Linked DNA regions of Lepisosteus oculatus. Each later gene encodes a partner of the first gene's protein in a complex. Links are inferred from orthologs where the notes say so. Each region holds a gene or a part of one and is shown on either strand. Other genes may lie near its edges.

Evidence for each region.
Region 2: the proteins of pink1 (region 1) and tomm5 are in contact, whole or in part, in a cryo-EM structure (PDB 9EII), measured with the Homo sapiens proteins. The link is inferred for Lepisosteus oculatus from reciprocal best matches to the Homo sapiens genes PINK1 and TOMM5. Residues at the interface, in NP_115785.1 of Homo sapiens: Gln484, Ala488, Gln491, Ser495, Lys496, Pro498, Val502, Lys520, Leu522, Lys523, Leu524, Met527, Glu565, Cys568, Gln569, Ala571, Leu572, Leu573, Cys575, Ser576, Trp577, Ala579, Ala580; in NP_001001790.1 of Homo sapiens: Met1, Phe2, Arg3, Ile4, Gly6, Leu7, Ala8, Lys10, Leu11, Asp12, Pro13, Glu14, Met16, Lys17, Arg18.

The regions. Positions count from the first base shown.
Region 1 is NC_090720.1:10,920,157-10,930,918, reverse strand, and holds the start of pink1 (serine/threonine-protein kinase PINK1, mitochondrial), read right to left. Parts: upstream 4,463-10,762; 5' UTR 4,342-4,462; coding exon 3,982-4,341; intron 2,252-3,981; coding exon 1,970-2,251; intron 1-1,969. Other genes in the region: cdaa (cytidine deaminase a), read right to left, coding at 10,212-10,409. UniProt on the Homo sapiens protein: Serine/threonine-protein kinase which acts as a sensor of mitochondrial damage and protects against mitochondrial dysfunction during cellular stress.
Region 2 is NC_090696.1:67,263,632-67,273,931, reverse strand, and holds tomm5 (mitochondrial import receptor subunit TOM5 homolog), read left to right. Parts: upstream 1-6,141; 5' UTR 6,142-6,229; coding exon 6,230-6,350; intron 6,351-8,296; coding exon 8,297-8,331; 3' UTR 8,332-8,950; downstream 8,951-10,300.

The DNA.
Region 1 (10,762 bases):
GTAGAAAGCATGGTAACCTGAGGTCAATGAAGTCAGACCAGATGAAGGAATGAAGACCAGACGACACTGTGGCTGTCCAGGATCTGGTTTGGAAACCCCTGTTTTAAATCAATGTATGTTCCAGATAGAACTTGGCAACGCAACATATAATTTATAGCATGTCTCTAAAGTGGATTTTGTATAATGTTGGAGTGCTGATCTTTTTTCAATACAAGCTTGAACTGTTTGCAGACCACTTTCGTGTAGTTTTTATATTTCTTTATTGTTCTGATGTTCATTTCTTCATTCTTCTTGCAGTGTTTCACCCTTTGTGTGCCCGTTCTTGCTTAGCTTAGTTCAACCTCACTTCACAATAGTAACTGACATAATTTGTTATGGTTATCATTTATAAATGTGTGCACTAAAATGCTTTTGTAGATAGGAGGACTACAAGCTGCCAGTACTATATACTGTACTGGACAAGAGAAACAGTCCCAGTGTTAATTTTCAGGTTGTTTATTAACTTTTGAATAAAACCAGAGCTGTACCTAAATGAAGCCCAATATATTGCACTGAGGCTTCACTGGTTAACAAAGGAATGAACTTACACACTGCTGGTGCAACCAAATAAATTCAGATTCACTACTAATGTATTTAATCACAAAACACGTTTTGGCTGAATAATATTTAATGTGTTTAACAATAAACTTCTACTCTAAAAACACACTGGAAAATAGATCTGAAAATACAACCAGGGAAATAAAAATCAATATACAGCATTACAGATCACCATGTTGTTAAAACAGTGCTTACAATTGATTTATTTCTCATTTTAAACAGTTGTGATGAGTTTGTTTAAATGCATGTAAGGTATGTGCCCAGTGTAAATATATTTAAGACATCCAGTTACATTCAGTTCACTAAAGCAGTTTCGGTCTTTCCTTATATGTACAGTCTGCCACTGGAAGTGGCTGGACTAGAGAAATGCCAGTTCCAATTAGACCAGGGTTCGGAGGAAAGGTTTTCTTTATGAGATCAGAGATTAGTCTCATTGTCTACTATATGCCAGATTGATTCAATTGCTATGTTTGAAAATTGTCAAAACGTGAACATCCCCTCATCTTCTAACCACTTTATCCAGAAAGGGGTGGTGGGCAAGTTGGAGCCTATCCCAGTAAGCAACAGGCGCAAGGCAGGGCACACAGACAGAAACACACACACCAGGACTAATTTTTCCAGAAGCCAATTAACCTGTCAGCATGTCTTTTGACTGTGGGTGGAAACCAGAGAACCCCTTGAAAACCCATGCCAACATGGGGAAAACATAAAAAACTCCACACAGACAGAAGCCCCAGATTCGGAACCGAACCCAGAGCCCCTGCGCCACGAGGCAGCAATGCTGACCACTGCGCCACAGTGCTGCCCCAAAATGTGAACGATGAGAAGCAAAGATTCGAACATGACAAACACGTGGAGGTGTATAGGACTACGTTACTTAGAAACTTGCTATTTGTTGTTTACCAAAGCAAATGTTTACACCACAGGTGGGACTCTCAGTAGGCACATTCAAAATGTGCAACTTCATTTTCACGGCTTTTACCGGTTTCTGCACAACTTGATACACAACCTGATGTGTCACGGATGTCGGAAAGGACAAACCGTGGAATGACAGGAGAGCGAAACAGACCCTGTGCATAGCGGCGAGATGGGGGTTAGCCCGGGCTCAGCTGTTCAGGAAATGCGTTTTGGCTGAAGAGAGACCTATGCCCTCAGTTAGCAGCGTGGGGCGACCTGGTGCTAGGTGGGTCTGAGGACATCCGAATGTCAATGCTGAGCAAAGGCAAATGAAAGACCCAGAAATATATAGCCCCAGAGAGAGAGAGAGAGACAGCAAAGCACCGGAAACAACAGACAGGACAAACTAGGAGCGCCCTCTGGCTGCAGAGGGCGTGACATGATGTCTATATAGCTATGTTTTTATTCCACCTACCCCGATATTCCACATCATCTTCACTGCCAGGGGGTACTCAGCTGTGGCACGGCACTGGAGAGACAGTGAGTCTTCCTGCCTCACTTCTCCGGATGGATCCGGCACCACCAGGGAGCACTGCCCAGCCCGTCTCGGAACAGCGAAAGGAGTTGTAGCCTCATACACAGCAGCATTGCAGCCCTTCCCAACCTGCCTCCCAAACACGTAGTCTTCCAGCCTGTAGCCCGAGGAGAAGGACTTGAGTGGGCTTTGCAGCGCCGTCTTCTTCTGGGCAAACAAGGCCTTGGGAATTAAAAAAAAAATACATAGTTCACTATTAATAAACCTTAACTACCATTCCTTTTAAAATACATAGAATCTGTTCACTGCGTATATAAAATCACAAAAATCACCACTCCATTAGTTTTTCACACTCAAGGCGGACTTGTGCTGGGGAAATTGTCATCTTGACTAACACCTCTGAAATTCTTAATTCAATTCTATAGGTAACATCAAGTGAAGCTTGTAAAATTTCAACAAAAATAGGTGACTATATAACCAGAACTTACAGCACATAGCACTGAACCAGATATTAAAGTTTGCATTAAGAATTAAAGAAATTAAAATATACCATTGCTATATATTGCTATACTGTACATTGGAATGGCATACACTCATCCTGCCAACTATAAGGTATATATATGCTTGCTCACTACATGAAGAGCCGCTCTACGTACAGTAGCACATTATGTAGTCAACAGTTCTGTGGTGGAATGATAAGCACTCTGGACTCTGAATCCAGTGATACAAATTCAAATCTCGGTGGAACCCGAGCCGCAGATTCATGCCAGCAGCCATTTCACCCTGCAACTCACACCTGGCAAACCCACTGAAGCTCAGCAGGTGTGAGCCTGGTCAGTACCTGGATGGGAGACCTCCTAGGAAAAACTACAGTTGCTGCTGGAAGACGTGTTAGTGGGGCCAGCAGGGGGAGCTCAACCTGCAGTTTGTGTGGATCCTATTACCCCGGTATAGTGACGGGGACACTATACTGTAAAAAGGCGCCGTCCTTCGGATGAGACGTTAAACCGAGGTCCTGACTCTCTGTGGTCATTAAAAATCCCAGGGCCTTTACCAATCATGACCTCCTAATAATCCCCATCTCTGAACTGGCTTCATCACTCTGTTCTCCTCCACTCTGAGAGCTGGTGTGTGTGGGGGGGTGTACTGGCACACCCTGGCTGCTGTCACATCATCCACCACACTGGTGGTGGTGGTGGTGTAGGGGAGTCCCCATTACCTGTAAAGAGCTTTGAGTGGAGTGTCCAGAAAAAACACTATACAAGTGTAAGGAATTATTTTTTATTATTATTCAGCACAAAACAAGTGATTTACAGACAATGAAATCCAAACTGGAGAACCCAATTAAAACTGAGAACAGGAGGCACTTCTGTACCTAAAGAATGGTGGGAGCATGTAACAAACCACACACCATGCTGTTAAGCCAACATGCTGGCCTCTTTAAAGCCAGGGTCTGGGTGAGATACCTGTATCACCTAGGTCCTCACTAGCACTTGTAGTTGTTCCTGCAGCCTTTTAGTACCATTCCTCACAATATTTTTTCCAGCTGTTAGTTCTTTCCAGATTTTAGTTCTTCTGGATACAAGCTAATTTGCATAAATGCGTCTACTGAGTAAATATCGAGTGGCCCTCCCAGTCAAACCAGTGTAGTGCAACTTGACACCTGCGGCACCTGTCACCTGTCAACCGATCAGCGACGTGAAGATTAAACAGCAGACCTAGCAAAGCAACGACGGTCCATCTTAAATGTGGGTTTCGGTTTAAGGGCAGCTTTAAAATCTCGTGTCTTAAAAGCTTCCTGGAGGTTCTTGGCCGTCACCATATTAGAATACGAGTCCCTATTTGACAATAATGCTTAGTACTTAACGCGGTGCAGCTTAAACTTGGCTTTGCACAAGCTTTTGTCATCTTACACAGCCCATATAAACTTGTTTCTCCAACCCGGGCTGTACCTGAATTTCTCGGCATGTCGCCGTGTCCCTTCTGTCCTCCTCCAGCTGCTGCTCGATGAGCCCGAGGCCCAGCCCGAAAGCCAGAAACACCGCTCTGGTCCTGGGGGATCCGGCGCCTCCTGGAAGCCGGCCGAGTCTCCGGCGCTGCAGCTGGGCAGCAAGGCCGCTCAGCGACACTCGGAAATAGCGGTAACGAGCAGGCAGGAAAGTCTGAGGCTGGACGGTACGGACCGGCGGGCCCAGACGGACACGGCCGCTTCTGAACTTCGCAGCGACCCGGGCAGCCGGTTTCAGGAGACCCTGCTGAAACACCGACCGGCCCAGCTCCAGCCCACGAGCAATGACGAGCTTCACCGACATGGTCGGCTGTTAAAGCCCCCTTCTTGCCTAAAACGTGTGACCACCTTTCTCCCTCACACCTCCTCCAAACGTCCCAGCACAACCGTGATAAACAAGGGGGTCACGTGATGTAAACATGCCAGCAGACATGCGGAAGTCGTCACAGACCGGATGTGCGAGAAACTCAACCGGAAAAACGTTATCAGGTCGCGCAGCCCCCTACTTAATGCCTCCTCTGTGTATAGTATATCCTGCAAAAGCGGTCTGAGAACAAGGTTCGCATTCAAAATTGTTTATAGTGTTTATCAATTAAACGGACATTTTTTCAATTCATATAACGAGTTAGAGTTATGCGTGTTCTGTGATGCTGGGAAAGAAACGCTGACACATTTGTTACGTATATATATATAGTGTTCTGGATAGAATTGGAAAAAATACCTTTAATTTTATCTTCAGTATGAAAGTTATACTTAAGCAGTTTCATGTTATATGTTGCAATATTTTCCCCGTAAAATGGAAAATGAATTTGTATTAATGGATTGAATCTTTTATTAATAATGGGTCGTCTAGCTCCGGACCGGGAGGTCCTGGGTTCAGTCCCAGGTGGGGGCAAGTGATGTAGCTTTTTTCATAATTCCACTCAGCTCCCAGGTCCACTCCAGGTCCACTCCGCCTGCTTTCCAAATGAGTACTGGAGGTAATAGGCCAGCCAGAGCGTGATGCTGACATCACCTCCACCTCCAGTGTCAGATGGTTGAGAAAAATGATGGCTCTTGCCCACCCCCCCTTCCCCATGGGTCTTGATGGCCTGAAAAGGGGACCTAACCTACCTTTTAATAATGAGTGGATATCACATCCACAAAACTCAGCAGTCATATCCTGCAACTCACAACTGGCAACCCACTGAAGCTCAGCAGGTGTAAGCCTGGTCAGTACCTGGATGGGAGACCTCCTGGGAAAGCTGAGGTGTTAGTGGGGCCAGCAGGGGGTGCTTACCCTGAGGTCTATGTGGGTTCTAATGCCCTCAGTATAGGTCCTGACTCTCTGTGGTCATTAAAAATCCCAGGGCGTTTCTCGAAAAGAGTAGGGGTGTACTCGTCCTGGCCAAATTTCCCATTGGCCCTTACCAATTATGGACTCCTAATAATCCCCATCTCTGAACTGGCTTCATCACTCTGTTCTCCTCCCCACTGAGAGCTGGTGTATGGTGAGCGAACTGGTGCACTATGGCTGCCGTCGCATCATCCAGGTGGGGCTGCACACTGGTGGGGGTGGAGGGGATCCCCATTACCTGTAAAAATATTTGAGTGGAGTATCCAGAAAAGCACTACATAAGTGTAAGCAATTATTATTAATTAAAACAGAACTGTCCAGTGCTACTCCCTCATTTAGTGTATATAAGGTGTAAATGCAATACTACTTAAACTCCATTACAAGCATGACAAATAACAAAGCAAAAATCACAATTAATAAAACTTGATGTATACAGATTTGTTATTATTTCTGGCAAGATACTGTTCTTAGTCCCTTTTGTTCGCTTTTCCGTTGTGGATACTGTTTCTCCGTTATTTGTATTATTTTATGTTCTATAAAACCTGATAAAAATCTGCACAACGTGCACAAATGCCGAAGAGCTGCAGCACTGAAGCCCGGATTCTGCCCAACCAATGAGCGGAAGCGGCCCAAGACAGATGCAGTAACGGGCTCGCATCCTAATCGCTCCTCCTAGCGCCACCTAGGCCAGCAGGTGTGAAGCGCCTGTTAGTTACGCCGCCGATGGTCTTCCAAATCATCTTCCTTGTATGCAGTCGTCGTAAATTGTATTTACAAAGAATGTACTGTACATTTGTCATCTATCCACACATTGTGTAAGCGGGTGTGCACAATTTAAATTATACGTCATTCTAGCCCTTAAGTGCTGTTGATACGCAGTCAGCACAGAAATGCCTATTTATATAAAAATAAATGCCTACTAATGTTATGTTGTTGTGAAGCTACATAACCATATGAGTCGATGAATTATCCGCTGACGAGAGCCAGTGTTAAAGGGTTTATTTAGGGACATGTGTGCTGTGCACCAATGCAAGCGACAGATCATCTGATGGATAGCACAGAATTCGTGTTCACAAAACCAAGGAAGCGGACAGATTTGAATCTGGCAAGAAATGTTAATAATGGCACAATGCTGGCACGTTCCTCTCAAGACTACGTTTGAAATGGTCATTTTACGAGTTAAAGCTTGTTGGTATCCGGTCACGGTTAGAGGTCACGCAGCATTAATTGCGCCAATAACACCGGCTGGAAAGAATTGCCCACCTGTGAGAATCGGCCACCGGCTAATCGCTGTGACGAGTCCCGCAGTGCACAAGCTCAAAAGACGATTAATAACCAACTACATGAGATCAGAAACAACAGTAGTCTCCGCATAAAATCTTTTTAATGAAACATTTTTACAGTTTTAAATGTAAATATTTCACGTTTAAAGCTGGTATTTTATGCACAATTGCTACAAAATTTTTAAAAAGTATTTTATGCTTGAAAAGTATATTTACACAACTTTCAAAAGAATATACTGTGCGGTGAACCTGAGAACGCTACAATACCTACTATTAATTATTTGGCCTAATGCAAGTTATTTAGATGTGTCTCTTAAAAGTGAATGAGCTGATTAAAGGGAAATCTGCATTTCTTACATTTCCAAACGCGTAACTGCAGAAGCTCTCTCATATATCGAAATCTCCTGTACTGATGTCGAGCGAATTATTTTTGCTGGAAGATTAGACAGGTCACCAGCTGCAACGCAATACACAATGCTGCCAGGCAGGAGCACAACTGAAAACAAGCAGCTGAAATATCAATCTTTAACTGTTTGATGACCACTTCGAAACGAAGGCGGCATGAGATTTGCTCTAGTAATCAAAATGAAAGAGCTTCTTCGTGTATTTATGTTCTATAAACGGGCGCTGGTTATCATCGCTGTCTCGCAGCGCGGAGCTTGTATTTTCTCCCCGCGTTCGTGGGAGTTTCCTTCGGGAGCTGCCGGTTCTTCCCACAGTCCACACACATGCTTGTAGGTTAATCGGCGTGTGTGTGTGTCCTGTCGGGACAGGCTCTATCTCCCCCGCGACCCTGAACCGCAAGAAGCGGCGCCATGGAGCTGGGGTGGGTGTTTTAGATACAGTATGAGCTGGTAAATCCAAATCAATTGTAGAAAATTGGTAAATATTCGAGGCCTTTCCGCTATAGCAGTGTACTCGGAAAGAGCGTAGCGCCCTCGCCGCTGCCGCCTCAGCTCGGCCCACCCACCATCGGGCACTCGAACCCAGGCCTCCGGTGTCGCTCAACCGGGACCTAGCCAGTTAAGCTAAAGGGAAATCTCCCGTCAGCCCGACGGCTAAGGTCCCTGCTATCCACAGGGAAAGGGCGGTGACGTCACCGCGCTGCTAAGCCGACTCGCACAACTTGCAATGGCAAAACATGATATATGTAAAATATACAATTTGATCACATCATAACGTAATTACCTCTGGTAGTTCAATGCTTTTTTTCTGCTGAGTTTCTTTTTTCTCTTGTACATGATTCTGAACCTCTTGTTGTATTTGTATCTGTAAATTCTATACGTTTAATAAAAAATTAAACCGCAAAAAAACAACAACTTGCAATGGCGTTACAATAGTAGAGAAAGTTTAGAATGGTTTGGGGTTATACTGTAGTTGAATTGAAAAAACTGTGGACAGCCTAGGGGCGGTTTTGGGGTGTGATTCGAGAATGTAATGTTGATCACTATGTCATCTTTTCCTGCAGGAAATGTGGTAAACTAGTGCCAGGTAAAGAATATGACAATCCATTCTGAGTTTTCTGTTTCCTATTGCACATCGTACGGAGTCTTTACATACCATGCATTGCATGGTAAGTTCGATTTGAAAGCAATGGCACTAACTGGGCTAACAAAAAGTGGCAAGACGTGTGGAATAATAACAACCACAGACTGAAACAACTTATTGACAAAATATCCAACAAACCTGCTGGAAATGACCTACCCAGAACAAGCCTGGGTCAAGCTGAACCAACTAAGAACCGGACATGGCCGTTTCCGGGCCACCCTACACAAGTGGGGTCTCACTGATGACCCAACTTGCGAATGCGGCGATGGCGAGGAGCAGACGGCCGACCACATCCTATACTCCTGCCCTCGCTTCAGATGCCCCGGCAACTTTATCGATTTGGATGATGCCAGCCGCGACTGGCTGAGGCACCTGACTGTGACAATATAACTATGTAACTTCTGCATGTTAAGCTCATATGAATATATATACATACCATGCAAAAGAAAAGAATGATGACACAGGCCCTTTAACTGTATTTACATACCCACAGCATAGCAATATAAAGTAAGGGGCCTGAGATGATATATTGAATTCCGATTGAAAATCTTTTTCCGCACATTTTAGAAGGTGCGCTGTGTTTACTTGTATTTAAATGTCTCCGTCATGTATCGACATATATGTGAACTAGTTCAAGCTCAAATATGTGTGAACGGCACTGTACAGTATTCGTGGAAGGCAGGTCGTTGAAGGGACTGTATTGACAACTAGTCTGCCACCAGAGGCCGCCAAAGAGTCTCTCACTAGGCTCTCTCAATAGGTTCACCAGTGTTGGTGGTGGTTGGGTTTAGAGAAGCAGAAAGGGTGGGTTACTCATGTGTAAGAAGGATTTACTCTTCAGTGCTTACTTCCATCACAAGTTTGCTCAGCACCTGGAGCCACCTTGACTAATGGTGGTCTGCCACAGTATTATTAGTTAATACATCAAAAATCAAAATGTTTGAAATATATCTCACCTCCTTTCAAAAGGATGTCACTATAGGTCCAGATATGTTTGTAACACTGCCATATAACTAAAACTGTGTCACTCAGGTCATGAGCTCGACTTGAGCAAATCAAACTTTGCATACAATTTGCAATATACAAAATACATTTTATTGCATAACACTACATACTCGTTATATTACAAAATGTATTCCTGTGAGGTAAGCAGTGCACAAGGCAGGACAGGAACCTACTGCCATCAAACGTATTGAACAGTAAATGTGCACATGGCTCAAGAGTAAAATTTGAATTACAAAATGGTTTCCTGAACCAAACTGTTACGTAAATTGAGGGTTTGTATGTCATGTCATGATATATTACTTTACAGATAATTTTGTGCTGTTCCTCTGTAGTAGTCAACTGAGTCATCAGCTGCTTGAGTTTCCTCTGACAACTCGCTGAAAACACATCTGTTCTTTCTCCGGTTCAGTTAACTCACTGCTGTTGAAATGGTCATTGTGACATTTGTTCCCACCACCGGAACTTTTAAGTGCTCTATTCATCACATTTTGTAACTTTTAGAGAAAAATTGGCTTACCTGTTACTGACCTCAACTAGATTTATAACATTTTCTAAATACTACAAATTCTGATTGCCTTTTTGTGTCCTGCAGCTGCATATTAAAAACCAGCTCTAGGGTCCTTACGTAGCATAATTACTTTTTTTTATTATCTTCCAATTTGTATTGTGCATTCCTTAATGGTGTAGGGCAAAATTACCATGTAAAGGAGTTTGAGAGGGTACTGTCCGAACAAAAAGACAATCAAATGTCAAAGACTGATTCACTGATAAGCATGTACCAAGTGCTGTGTGTAGCTGACACCCCGAACTTAAAATTCTCCATAACCTGAACAACAGTGTTACTTCACTCCAGTAATTGCCTGCACTCCATGCTCCGCCAAAGAATTACAGAGCAAATGCAAGTCATCATGTTCCTCATTTGGAAGGAACATTCTCAAAAACATGCAGCAATTCCTATAAATACTTGGGAGCACAAACACCTACTGGCATCACTGCACAATGCTAATTATTATTTTCCCCAGCCTCACAAGGTGAATGAGTGTAGAACTGCGTCGACACTTCATGTCCATTTTGTAGGGAGAAAACCTTCTTTTTCTTGAGGTCATCAGGCCCAAAAGACATGGGCAGCAGCTCATCCACGGTCATCCGTACGTATGATCCATCCACCTTCGTCAGGAACACATCCCAGCCTGTGCCAAACTGCAAAACAAATCGGATCTATAAGTATCTGAAAACAGAGCAAGAGCACAATGTGCATGAATATGAGTGTACCGTATACACCATTTTATGGGATACATTCATAATTAGGTTTGAAAAATGTACAATGTTAGGAAGGAGGAGAGTCTTCTGTGTCTGCTTTGTAAATGTTTAAAGTGAGCAGCCACACAACCACTGCCTGCTTTGATTGCTTACTTTATGGCTGCTTACTTTGCAAAAGCAAAAGCAGGTGTTACTTTATATTGTTCTCCTTCCTGTGACCACTGTGAAAAAGTTAGAACTAATTATTTAGTATTTAAAAGCTGCATGATTTCTAGTGACCTCTGATCTTAAAA
Region 2 (10,300 bases), on another chromosome or scaffold:
TGTAAACTAGTGAGGGATTACCACATGGCGGTTGTAAATACTTTATTACCACACGACAGGAGGACCAGCTGATGATTTAACTTCTGTCAGGACAAGATCAGTCTAAGTCAGCGCAGTGTTTACAGACACCAGGCATCCCCCTTCTTTAGGATCCGTGCAGAGGAGAGAAGGATTCACAATGCCTTGTTGTGTACAGAGAACCACTCACTGCTGATCCATAGAAACACATGACAGGCCGGCAACTGCCCCACAGAATCACGTGGCCAGGACATAACTTCTTCATAGCCCGAGAATCTGTTAGAAAGCTTATTTGAATTATAACTTGTGCATTCGTCGTTTGTTGTTTAAAAAGATTAAAAATGAGATAGGAATGTAGCGCCAATGCAGAAATTCAGCAGTAAGCATCGTTCTTATATTTTAACTACGAATCATTGTTAAGTATAAATAATTAATGATAGTATGTAGACTCTGCGGTATTCTTTCCATTTGAAGCACCGCAAAAACGCACTCATCTGTAGGCTTATCGATAAGAGACATGTATTTCATTGCATTTATAACAAGACAAATTCTGTTTTATTCCTGTATACAAGGATATTTCTCGGCAATTCAGTTTCTCCTCAACTGTTAAAAAGAATGGATTTTGTTTTAGAAAACTATACTCGCAATTATTGTGAAGTACGACAGCTAAAAAAGTATATCTCAAATAAGAACAAATTAATTTGGCTGATACGGTAGCTGAAAACCAACCACGCTGGCGAACCGGAGAGGTTTGTATCGTTGTTGGGCTCTCTCCTCCCTTGTTAATCCGATTTAAATATCTGACTGCTCAAGTCCTTAATTTTATTTGCAGTTCAAAGATGTTACGGCCGTTACAATCAGGGAAAACTTACCAATTGGATCTGGATAATAAAAAAAACGAGCGACTCACCTCATGTGTGCGGAGCGCTGGATCTATCTATCTGCCCCTGTGCTGAAGGGAGACGGATTGCCTGTCTGTAGTAGCCGGGTGAGTGAGGAAGGGTTTGGATGCTGTCTAATGCACGGCTCTTAGCGGCTCTCCTCTCTCTCTAATCTCCTCGGGTCAGTCACTCATTGTTCTCTCTCTCCCTTTCAAAACGTGCCATAAATCCGAGCTGTGAGCAAGCGAGACCACCATAAGATTACAGCTCAGATTCATCCAAAAGGCACGACAACTCCTTTGCAATCGGTCGTAATAAACTTTGCAGCGAGCACCACAGTAATGGTTAGTTATAAATCTGCGATACTGACGCATCTCTCAGGAGACCTCTTTCGCGTATTGCTGACTGACTGGCAGATATGCCAAGGTTATCCTTGTATACTGCGCAGCAATGGCAACAGACGCTTCAACTGGGTTCAGCCAGGGAACGAAGAACAGACCGTGTTTTAAGTTGAAATATACCTTAGGATACGGCGTGTCATTTAGAAGCAAAGTAAGAGCGCGTTTTGGAGTTTTATACGAGCAAACAAACCTGGGTCAATTTGAGTTTCGGATAGACGATCATCTATGCCCTGGCTGTATTTCGTAGTTTTGCGTGGGGGCAGTTCGCCATCTCCTGGTCTCCCTGGACATCCACAATTTTCAACTAGTTCTATTCTGCCAAAGAAGCAACCGAATTGGGGGCAGTATAGTTTATTGGTATTAGAATGATTATTAGTTACACTCCCGTTATTAATACTACACTCTAAAATGTACGAATATCGTTATTCTTGCTATTGGTGTTGCTTGGGCTTGTTTTTAAAGCCTTTCGACCAGATAAATTACAGTTATATGCAAGGAAGAATCGGTTTGTATTTTTGTTACTGATGATGGCTCCAGTTGGGAAAGTAACGAAATCCAATTTTTACTCCTAATTTCTCAGCGGGGTTTGCTTACCCAGTTCCACAAAATACTTTTTTCTTACTTTGAATAAACCAGTTGTGAACGTCGTTACTACATCAGTACTATATATTTTTAAATGATTTCAAAATTAAATCAATTTAAATACTGTAACGTCTGGTATCACAAAGTATCTTCTTTCCAATTTTTAACTAATGCAATATTTTCATAGTTGAGAGGCAGAAAAGTGTGGTTACCTTTCAGAAAAAAACATTTTCCTCAGAGGAGAGTGGTAAAATATTTTTTACAAATGTTTACATATCAATTTTATGTACTAATATACGCATACGCTAAACTCGTTTACAGTTGTACTTGTTATTAAAATAGTATTTTCTAAAATGTACTCCCTGCCTACTAAACCAGTTTTCGAGATGATTACAAGAACTCGAATTGTTTCTCACGATAACGCTATAATTTAATCTTTCACGCTCAATGACCTGAAGGTATATGTTCACTTTATGGTTACGAATTTACCTGTTCCAAAACGCTTTGCAAGCGCCCATGTTCTTGACAAGCGTGTGTGCGTAATTGGACTAAGATATCAAAGCTACAGGTTATGACATTTTCATCCAACATGGCTAGCTACCCATGCTGGTAGACAGCTTGGGGCTTTTACAACGATATCTACAGAACTGTGCTTTTCAGGAGGGTTGAGACCTCCTAATAAGGTTGTGTTGTGCTGCATATAGCTCCACTTTTGGCCCCTGTACTACTGCTTCCCACTGAGTTTTGAATCACAGTCTTGTGTCTCCTCCTATTTTTTTACCCTTCCACAACCCCAGTACTGACTACCTCTGTCCTCTGCTGAAACAGTGCAGTCTTGTTCTGGATCTTCCTAAAGAGGACCTGATAGAGGAGGCTGTCCTTTCCTAAAAATAAACTGAACACTCTCCCTTCACATTTACATTGTTATAACATTGTGGGTACTGGACCTCAGTCTCTTTTGCATCATTAATGTTGTCTTATCATTCATGATATACGATGTGTTCATTTTTCTCTCCTTTTCAGTGTAAAAGCATTGTGAAAATGCTAGCATTTTCAAATGTTGTTCCATATAAACGAATTTGTAGTCTGCTGCAAATTACCACAAGTATGTGACGTTACATCAGTACACCAATACATGTTTGTACTGTATTTTTCTTCTGTGTTACTGTTCAGACTGTGCTTTTATTGTAGCACATTGTGTGAAATGCTCACCACCAAAAGGTGCTCTTTAAAATAAATTTAAACAATCTGTAATTGATTGAAACCTGAGCTCACAAAACTCCCGAGAAGCGGATCGCTGATGTCTTGTTTTCCTGTTCAGCCAACTCAAGGTCACCTGAACTTGAATCTCCCCAGAACGTGAGCTGAAGCAGAAATACAAGATGGTTAGATAATTGTTTTTCCATGATTTCCCGAGTTGCTTGCGTTTTTGCGTCAGTCTGGACAGGATTGAAGTCCTCCTATCTCTTTCTCCTGTTTTGGTTTTAAAGCTCATATTAACAAATAGTACCTTCTCTCAACCTTCATCGGCCCTTGCAGCTGAAACTAGCAATTATTTTGTTAAGGTGTGGATCACTACCCCGGATTTGCAATGTAAGGTTCAAGACTTTTGATTGAAAGGTCACCTGGCATATGTCCGATCTGGATTAGTTGAGAATCGGTCTGTGAAGCCAGAAGGGTCTGAAAATGTTTCTGTGCACATCCAAACATGTAGGTAACTTGAGTTTTGTAAAAACAAAACACAGCACCGCAGCATGGGGAACAGGAGTGCAAATCAGGCACATAGCCCACTTCTGGAGGTCATGGTATGCATTTCCCGCTGAGTCTGAAAACAGAAAAGAAGATTTCTTCCTTTCCAGCAGGCAAGACCCATCCCTGCTGGATTTCACTCTGGAGAGTCAGGAAGGGCACACAGTCCGAAAATTAAGGAGGAAACCAAAGGCCACTCTGGGATCCTTTGGAATGGAAAGCATTCTGTACAATTCAACACATTGTTGACAGCTGAGAGACAGTATCAAATGGTTTCCCTCTTTGTGAGAAATGCCCTGGGATTTTTAATGACCACGGGGACTCAGAAGCTCGGTTTTACGTCTCATCCAAAGAACAGTGACTTTTTTTTCAGCATATTGTCCCCATCACTATACTGCGCCATTAGGACCCACACAGATCGCTGTAATGAACAGTTCTTTCCGGACCCTATGCGGACGACACAGTCCGACGGAGTGGGGAAACACTAGGGAAACGTCATGCAGGAAAACGGGGCTGAAGACAAGGGGGCGTGTCCAAGGTGCGCTGGTGCACGGGGGAGGTGTGGCCGAGGCGAACAATCCAAAAGAGAAGTCCTTAGGGAATATCCAAAACACACGAGAAAGTCCAAAACCAGGAGATCCAGCAGAACAAAGAATTAAAAACACGAAGGCCGGGTCGGAACCGGCGGACGGGGAACAGAGGTTAAAACCTTAACGGGACCAGGCGCTTCCAGGTCCCGGACTCGCACGATATGGAAATCAGATGCAGAGCCCGGATGAGCGTCAGCGCCTGGCTTTTAAGGTGGGCTGGGAATAGGGAGCAGGTGCATAGAATAAAGTCTTGAGTGAAAGGGCTGGAGCACCCTTAAGGAGGGGGGGCTAATATCGTGACAATCGCAGGGTGAGCGCTCCCTACTGGTCCCGCTAACACCTCTTCCAGCAGCAACCCTAGCTTTCCCAGGAGGTCTCCCATCCAGGTACTGACCAGTTGGTACTGACCAACCTGGTTGCAGGTTGTTTACTGCAGGAGGATATAGCTGCTGGTATTCTAGCAAAGAGCACTTTACTCCCCTGTTTTGCAGTGGGACACACAGGAGAACTGTCAGAGCTTTTTAGCACCAAAGGTAACTCCATTTTTTGCACGGGCAAAGCAATCAACAATACCCTGCAATCCTCCCTTTCATCCTCGTATGGCCATCGGTTACTGGAACTGCAGCTTTAGGGTTTTACCGAACCCATCAGAAAAGGCGGGAACAAGCTCTTTTCCTTAATGTTTTACGTTACAGCTCATTTCCCTAGAGTGCTGATGAACTTAATTAGGGCCTTTCAGCAAAGCTCCTAATTGCCAGAGGAGTGTGTGTGTTGCCGCTAGCAGATAACAGTTAGCTTGGGATCAACAGAAACGTGTTTCTCAGCATCCACCAACCACACAGTCAGGACTGAGCGGAGGCAGAGGACAGTTACTGGGAGGTAATGGCTTTTCCAAGCTTGTGGTGTCATGTCCCCGAGTTTATTTTTTTTTCTTCTCTTATCTTTTTGCTCTTATGGACACCCCAGGGGTATCATGGTCCCACTATATCAGTTTCAGTGTGGACTGACAAAACCAGATCTGTCCGCCGACCTGGTGCCAATGTATTCCACTCCAGCAGGCACGGTGGAAGAGATCTCGTCGATCTGTTTGGCAAGGACAGGTCATATCAGGTGCGTTTCCAACACATTAAACACAATGGTTGTGTTTTTTTTTTTTCAGCTTTTTAATGCCTCTGACTGAAGCCAGTATACAAAGTGATCCTGTACAGTGGGGACTAGGCAGGATACTTCCTGGACAGGACACTACATCATCACACAGTACACATGTATACACTCACACATGGGTCAGTTTTCACAGAGGCTAATTGACCTAATAGTATATTTTTGCCCTGTTGGAGGAAACCCACGCAAACATGGGACAAACATACAAACTTCAAGTAGATCTGGATTTGACCCCAGTGCTCCAGCACTGTGGGGAACCACTGTTTTGTCCTATTAATAATATATTTGTAGAATTCCCTTTTAAATATTAAGTTCAAATTGTTTAGTTTAGTGCTATACTGGAAACGAAAAAGATATCAAAATTCTGGGGAAACTTTGTCTTCTGGGCAAACGTATAAAAAACACAGCCGAAACGTTTTGTTTGTTTTCTTCTCTTTTCTGCATAGAATAAACCTTTAGCTATTCCACATATAATGCATTACAGAAACCGACATGTGAAGTAGTTCCCCTCTAATACTGTTCAATTTTTTCAGGATGCTATTTGAGACTCCAAAAAGTGGATGAGTAAGCCAATCGGAATCCTACAATAAAAAATAAAAACTATAATTATGAACAGCATTGAATTCTAATAACACAATTAGTAACACAAACACTGTACATAAAGTTCCTCTACAGCGCTGATTCGCCCTCGTTTCGTTCCGTGCAGTTTGTCTTTCCTCGCACACCGTATCACGTGTTAACCTCGATGAGGTCAGAGAGAGGGCGAGGGTCAAACTAGCACGTTTGCCGGAAAGACAGGATTCGTGCGTTTGCTGTGGTCAAGTGTAGCCTGATTGCAAGCTCCGTAATGTTTAAAATTGAAGGCCTGGGTCCCAAAATGGACCCCGAGGAGATGAAGAAGAAAATGAGGGAAGACGTGATCACGTCAGTGAGGAATTTTCTGATCTACGTAGCGTTGCTCAGAGTCAGTGAGTATCATTGCTCCTCGTCGGGTTTCAAGGCATCGTGTCCTTGCCTTAGTTCTTGTCATTCACTTCTGGTCATCTTTAGAAGATATCCTGCAAATGATGGAGATATACGGGGGCGGAACTGCTGAATATTTTAACGAGAGCGAGTTTTGTGTTCAGTACGCCGCTTTCTTTAAAACAAAAACATTTTTTTCTCGTTTCAAGGTGAAAAGAATTGATACATATGGTAAAAATTCTAATTAATTTCCCAGAATAACTATGTTCTAGAGTAGTCGTATTATGTGTAGGGAAACAACTACAGAGCTACTAGCTCTCGCCTTCATTTTATTCCAGGTCCTGACAGTAGGGGGAAGTGTTTAAAAGCCCTTGGCGTGTCTTGTTAGGAAATCTCTGCATACACCTGGTCTATAACGCTATGATAACATTCCTGTTTAAAATATTATAGTGATTTTATTCAAAGCTTAATCTGTTACAGTCTTGTGCACCCAAATGAAGTGCAAAACTTTAAACATGATTGGTTTCAATTAAACCTTGTTTTAACAAATTTTAAATTGTCTTTGGCAATACTAGATTGTTCCAGCCTTTAGAGTGGCACATGGTGTTGAAGCTCATTTTTGTGTTTCGTATTAGAATGGTTAACTGTTTGACAGTGAACAGTGGTTGTAGTTTTTTGGCCAATATATCACCCTGCAGCTCACAATTGGCAGCCCACTGAAGCTCAGCAGGTGTGGGCCTGGCCAGTACTTCCTGGATGGGAGATTCCTGGAAAGGCTGAGGTTGCTGCTGGAAGAAGTGTTAGTGGGGCCAGTAGGGAGCGCTCACCCTGCGATCTGTGTGGGTCCTAATGCTGCAGTATAGTGATGGGGACAATATGCTGAAAACAAAGTCACTGTTCTTTGGAGGAGACGTAAAACCAAGCTCACCCTGTGGTTTGTGTGGGTCCTAATGCCCAATCGAAGTGTTGGGGACACTGTACTGTAAAAAAGGTGCTTTCCTTTGGATAAAATGTAAAATAGAGCTCCTGTCTTTCTGTGGTCATTAAAAATCCCAGGGTGTTTCTTGAAATGAGTAGGGGGTAACAACCCCAGTGTCCTGGCCAAATTTCCCCCTGGCCTTTACCAATCATGGCTTCCTGATGGTCCCCATCTGTGAACTGGCTTCATCACTCTGTTTTCCTCCCCACTGATAGCTGATGTGTGGTGAGTGTATGTTGGTGCACTATGACTGCCATCACATCATCAAGAGTAGTTTATTGGCATATGTGCATGTACATTGGATTTCTTAATCGCGCTGATCTGCCAGGACATACACAGTAGAACAGACAACACACCACGCAATGTTGGCAATAGGAACAATAAATATGTTGTGGAAAAATAAATAAATATGTACTAGTGAGACCAGAAACAAATGGTAGACTATGTAAAAACTGCGTAGTGCAGATGTGTATTAAGGTACTGCAGTTAGCTGTTGAGGATGCGCACTGCAGTGGGATAGAAGCTGTTCTAGAGTCTAGTGGTCCTTGCTTTAACAGTGCGGTACCGATTCCCTGAGGGCAGGGGAGAGAACAGCTTGTGGCTGGGATGGCTGTCTTTCTGAATGATGGATTGGGCTTTATTGCGACTTGCGAATCTCACCGATTGATAGTAAAGGTGGATGCTGCACATTGGTGGTGGTGGAGGGGTCCCCATTACCTTTAAAACGCTTTGAGTGGAGTCTCCAGCCAAGCACTATATAAGTGTAAGGAATTATCAATACACTGATAAGTAGCTCCAGCAGTTTCTGACAGTCGTTGTGGGCTGTGAGAAGACTGTTGAAGGGTGCCGGCAATCGATTACTCTCATGATGTGAGTTTCAGTTCTGAATTGCACACTGAGGAACTTTCCTCAGCTCTTTCCATGTTTTTCAAACGAGTGCTAGCCTTGACCCATCCCCCTCTGCCTTCCCAGCGCCCTACGTCCTGAAGAAACTGGATAGCATCTGAAGAGTCTCGCTCTCCCGCCTGCGGAGGTCTTTCCCTGCGGCAGCTCAAGACAACAGCGCGGAGCCTCTGCTGGACCGGGAACATGTCGGCAATGCTGCCAGAGATCACCAGGACTGCTCAGTCCTTGGCTTGGGCTACACATCTGGTTCTGCCCTCTATCGTCACCTCATTGTTTAAAGGCTGCGATACCCATCATGTGTATGAATGGATCTCAACACTGTGCAACTCTCACAACACTGCAGGACTTGTGTGCTGATTTTATGTATTCTTGTTAATACAGGTCAATTACCCAATGATGTGTAACCCTTTAAAAATATTTCCCCATCTCGCGTACGAGTGAAATATAACAGAACAGCATGAGTTTTTTTTTTAATTTGGGTTTTTTTTTTAAGGAGGGGTGAATCCAGCATCCTTTTCTTTGGGATAGCTTTTGTTTGTTTTAAAACCTCCTGCGCGGTGGCGTTATTTGACCGTAACGCCATTCCCATGAAGTGTAGTGTGAGTATTTGTGTCGGCCGATTCTGACGGCGAAGGGGACGTGATTCCAGCCCTCGCCTGATGCAGCAATTTTAAATTCCACTCACTGCACCACAAGTCAAAATAAAAATGGTTCTTACGATTGCTGCTGTTCATTTGTTGTAATTCTTTAGTTCAGAATCAACCTTTAATATTACAAATACACCCAAAATGTGAAAGTAACTATTAATACTCAGTTATTACATAATTTTTTACACACAGAATCTAAACCCTCTCAATACATGCGGAGGAGTTTAATATCAATGTATTTGTACTACTGAACTTTCTCTTTAATTGCAGTGATTCTCTGTGTAGAATCACTTCTGATTATTATTATTAGATGTTTTTCTACTTTAAGAAGACTGGAGTTGCTCTTAAGAGGAAGATTTTTTTTTTTCTTATAAAATATACTTTATTCCGGAAAAAAACACATCTCAAAAGGAAAACATCTCATACAATAACACTCCACAAGTTAAAACAACGGCGGAACGGCGGTGATTGTCCGTTTTCAATCCTTGCAAGGGTCTTAAGAGGAAGATAATCACTTTATTAGCCCTATACAATTTCTTGCAATTGGATTTCATCTTTTCGCATACCCCAGCTTGTTCTCCATTAGACACAGAGACAGGGAGAGAGAAGCTTGGGGTCAGAGCACAGGATCAGCCATTGTACAGCGCCCCTGGAGCAGTTGGGTTTAAGGGCCTTGCTCAAGGGCCCAACAGAGTAGGATTCCTCTGCCAGCCACAGGAACTGAACTGGTTACCTTCCAGCCACAGGCACAGATCCTTAGCCACAGAGCCACCACTCCGCCCCCTCGGTTTTTAACTTTTGGTAGAGTCATGGTTCCTCTTAGCTGATTAACTGTAGCTAATCCTAGGAACCACTACTTAATCTAATTACATTGCACTGGTGTTTCTACTGGAGGTGACTAAAGCCACCTGTATAAAACCCTCAGTATCCATTAGTTAGGTCTGTTATGATTGAACAGGGATTATGTGTTTTAATTAAAAATCACTGAGTAATTCCTGAGCATGTGTTCCTCAAGCAGAGGAATCAGTCTTGAAGTTCCAGATGGTTTCTGGTTTTTCTTTCCCCCTGAGCCCTAAATTACCTCATTTGAGCTCTTTATTGTCTTAAAATGATTTTCCTTGTTCATGAGAAGCTGGAGATTTAGAAAAAGGTGCTGAACAATGGCTCTTGAAATCCAGGTGTTAGTGGGGCCAGCAGGGGGCGTTCACCCTGTGGTCTGTGTGGGTCCTAATGCCCCATTATAGTGACGGGGACACTATACTGTAAAAAGGTGTTGCCTTCGGACATAAAACCTAGATCCTGACTCTCTGTGGTCATTAAAAATCCCAGGGTGTTTCTCGAAAAGAGTAGGGGTGTAACCCTGGCATCCTGGCCAAATTTCCCATTGGCCCTTACTAATCATGGCCTCTTAATAATCCCCATC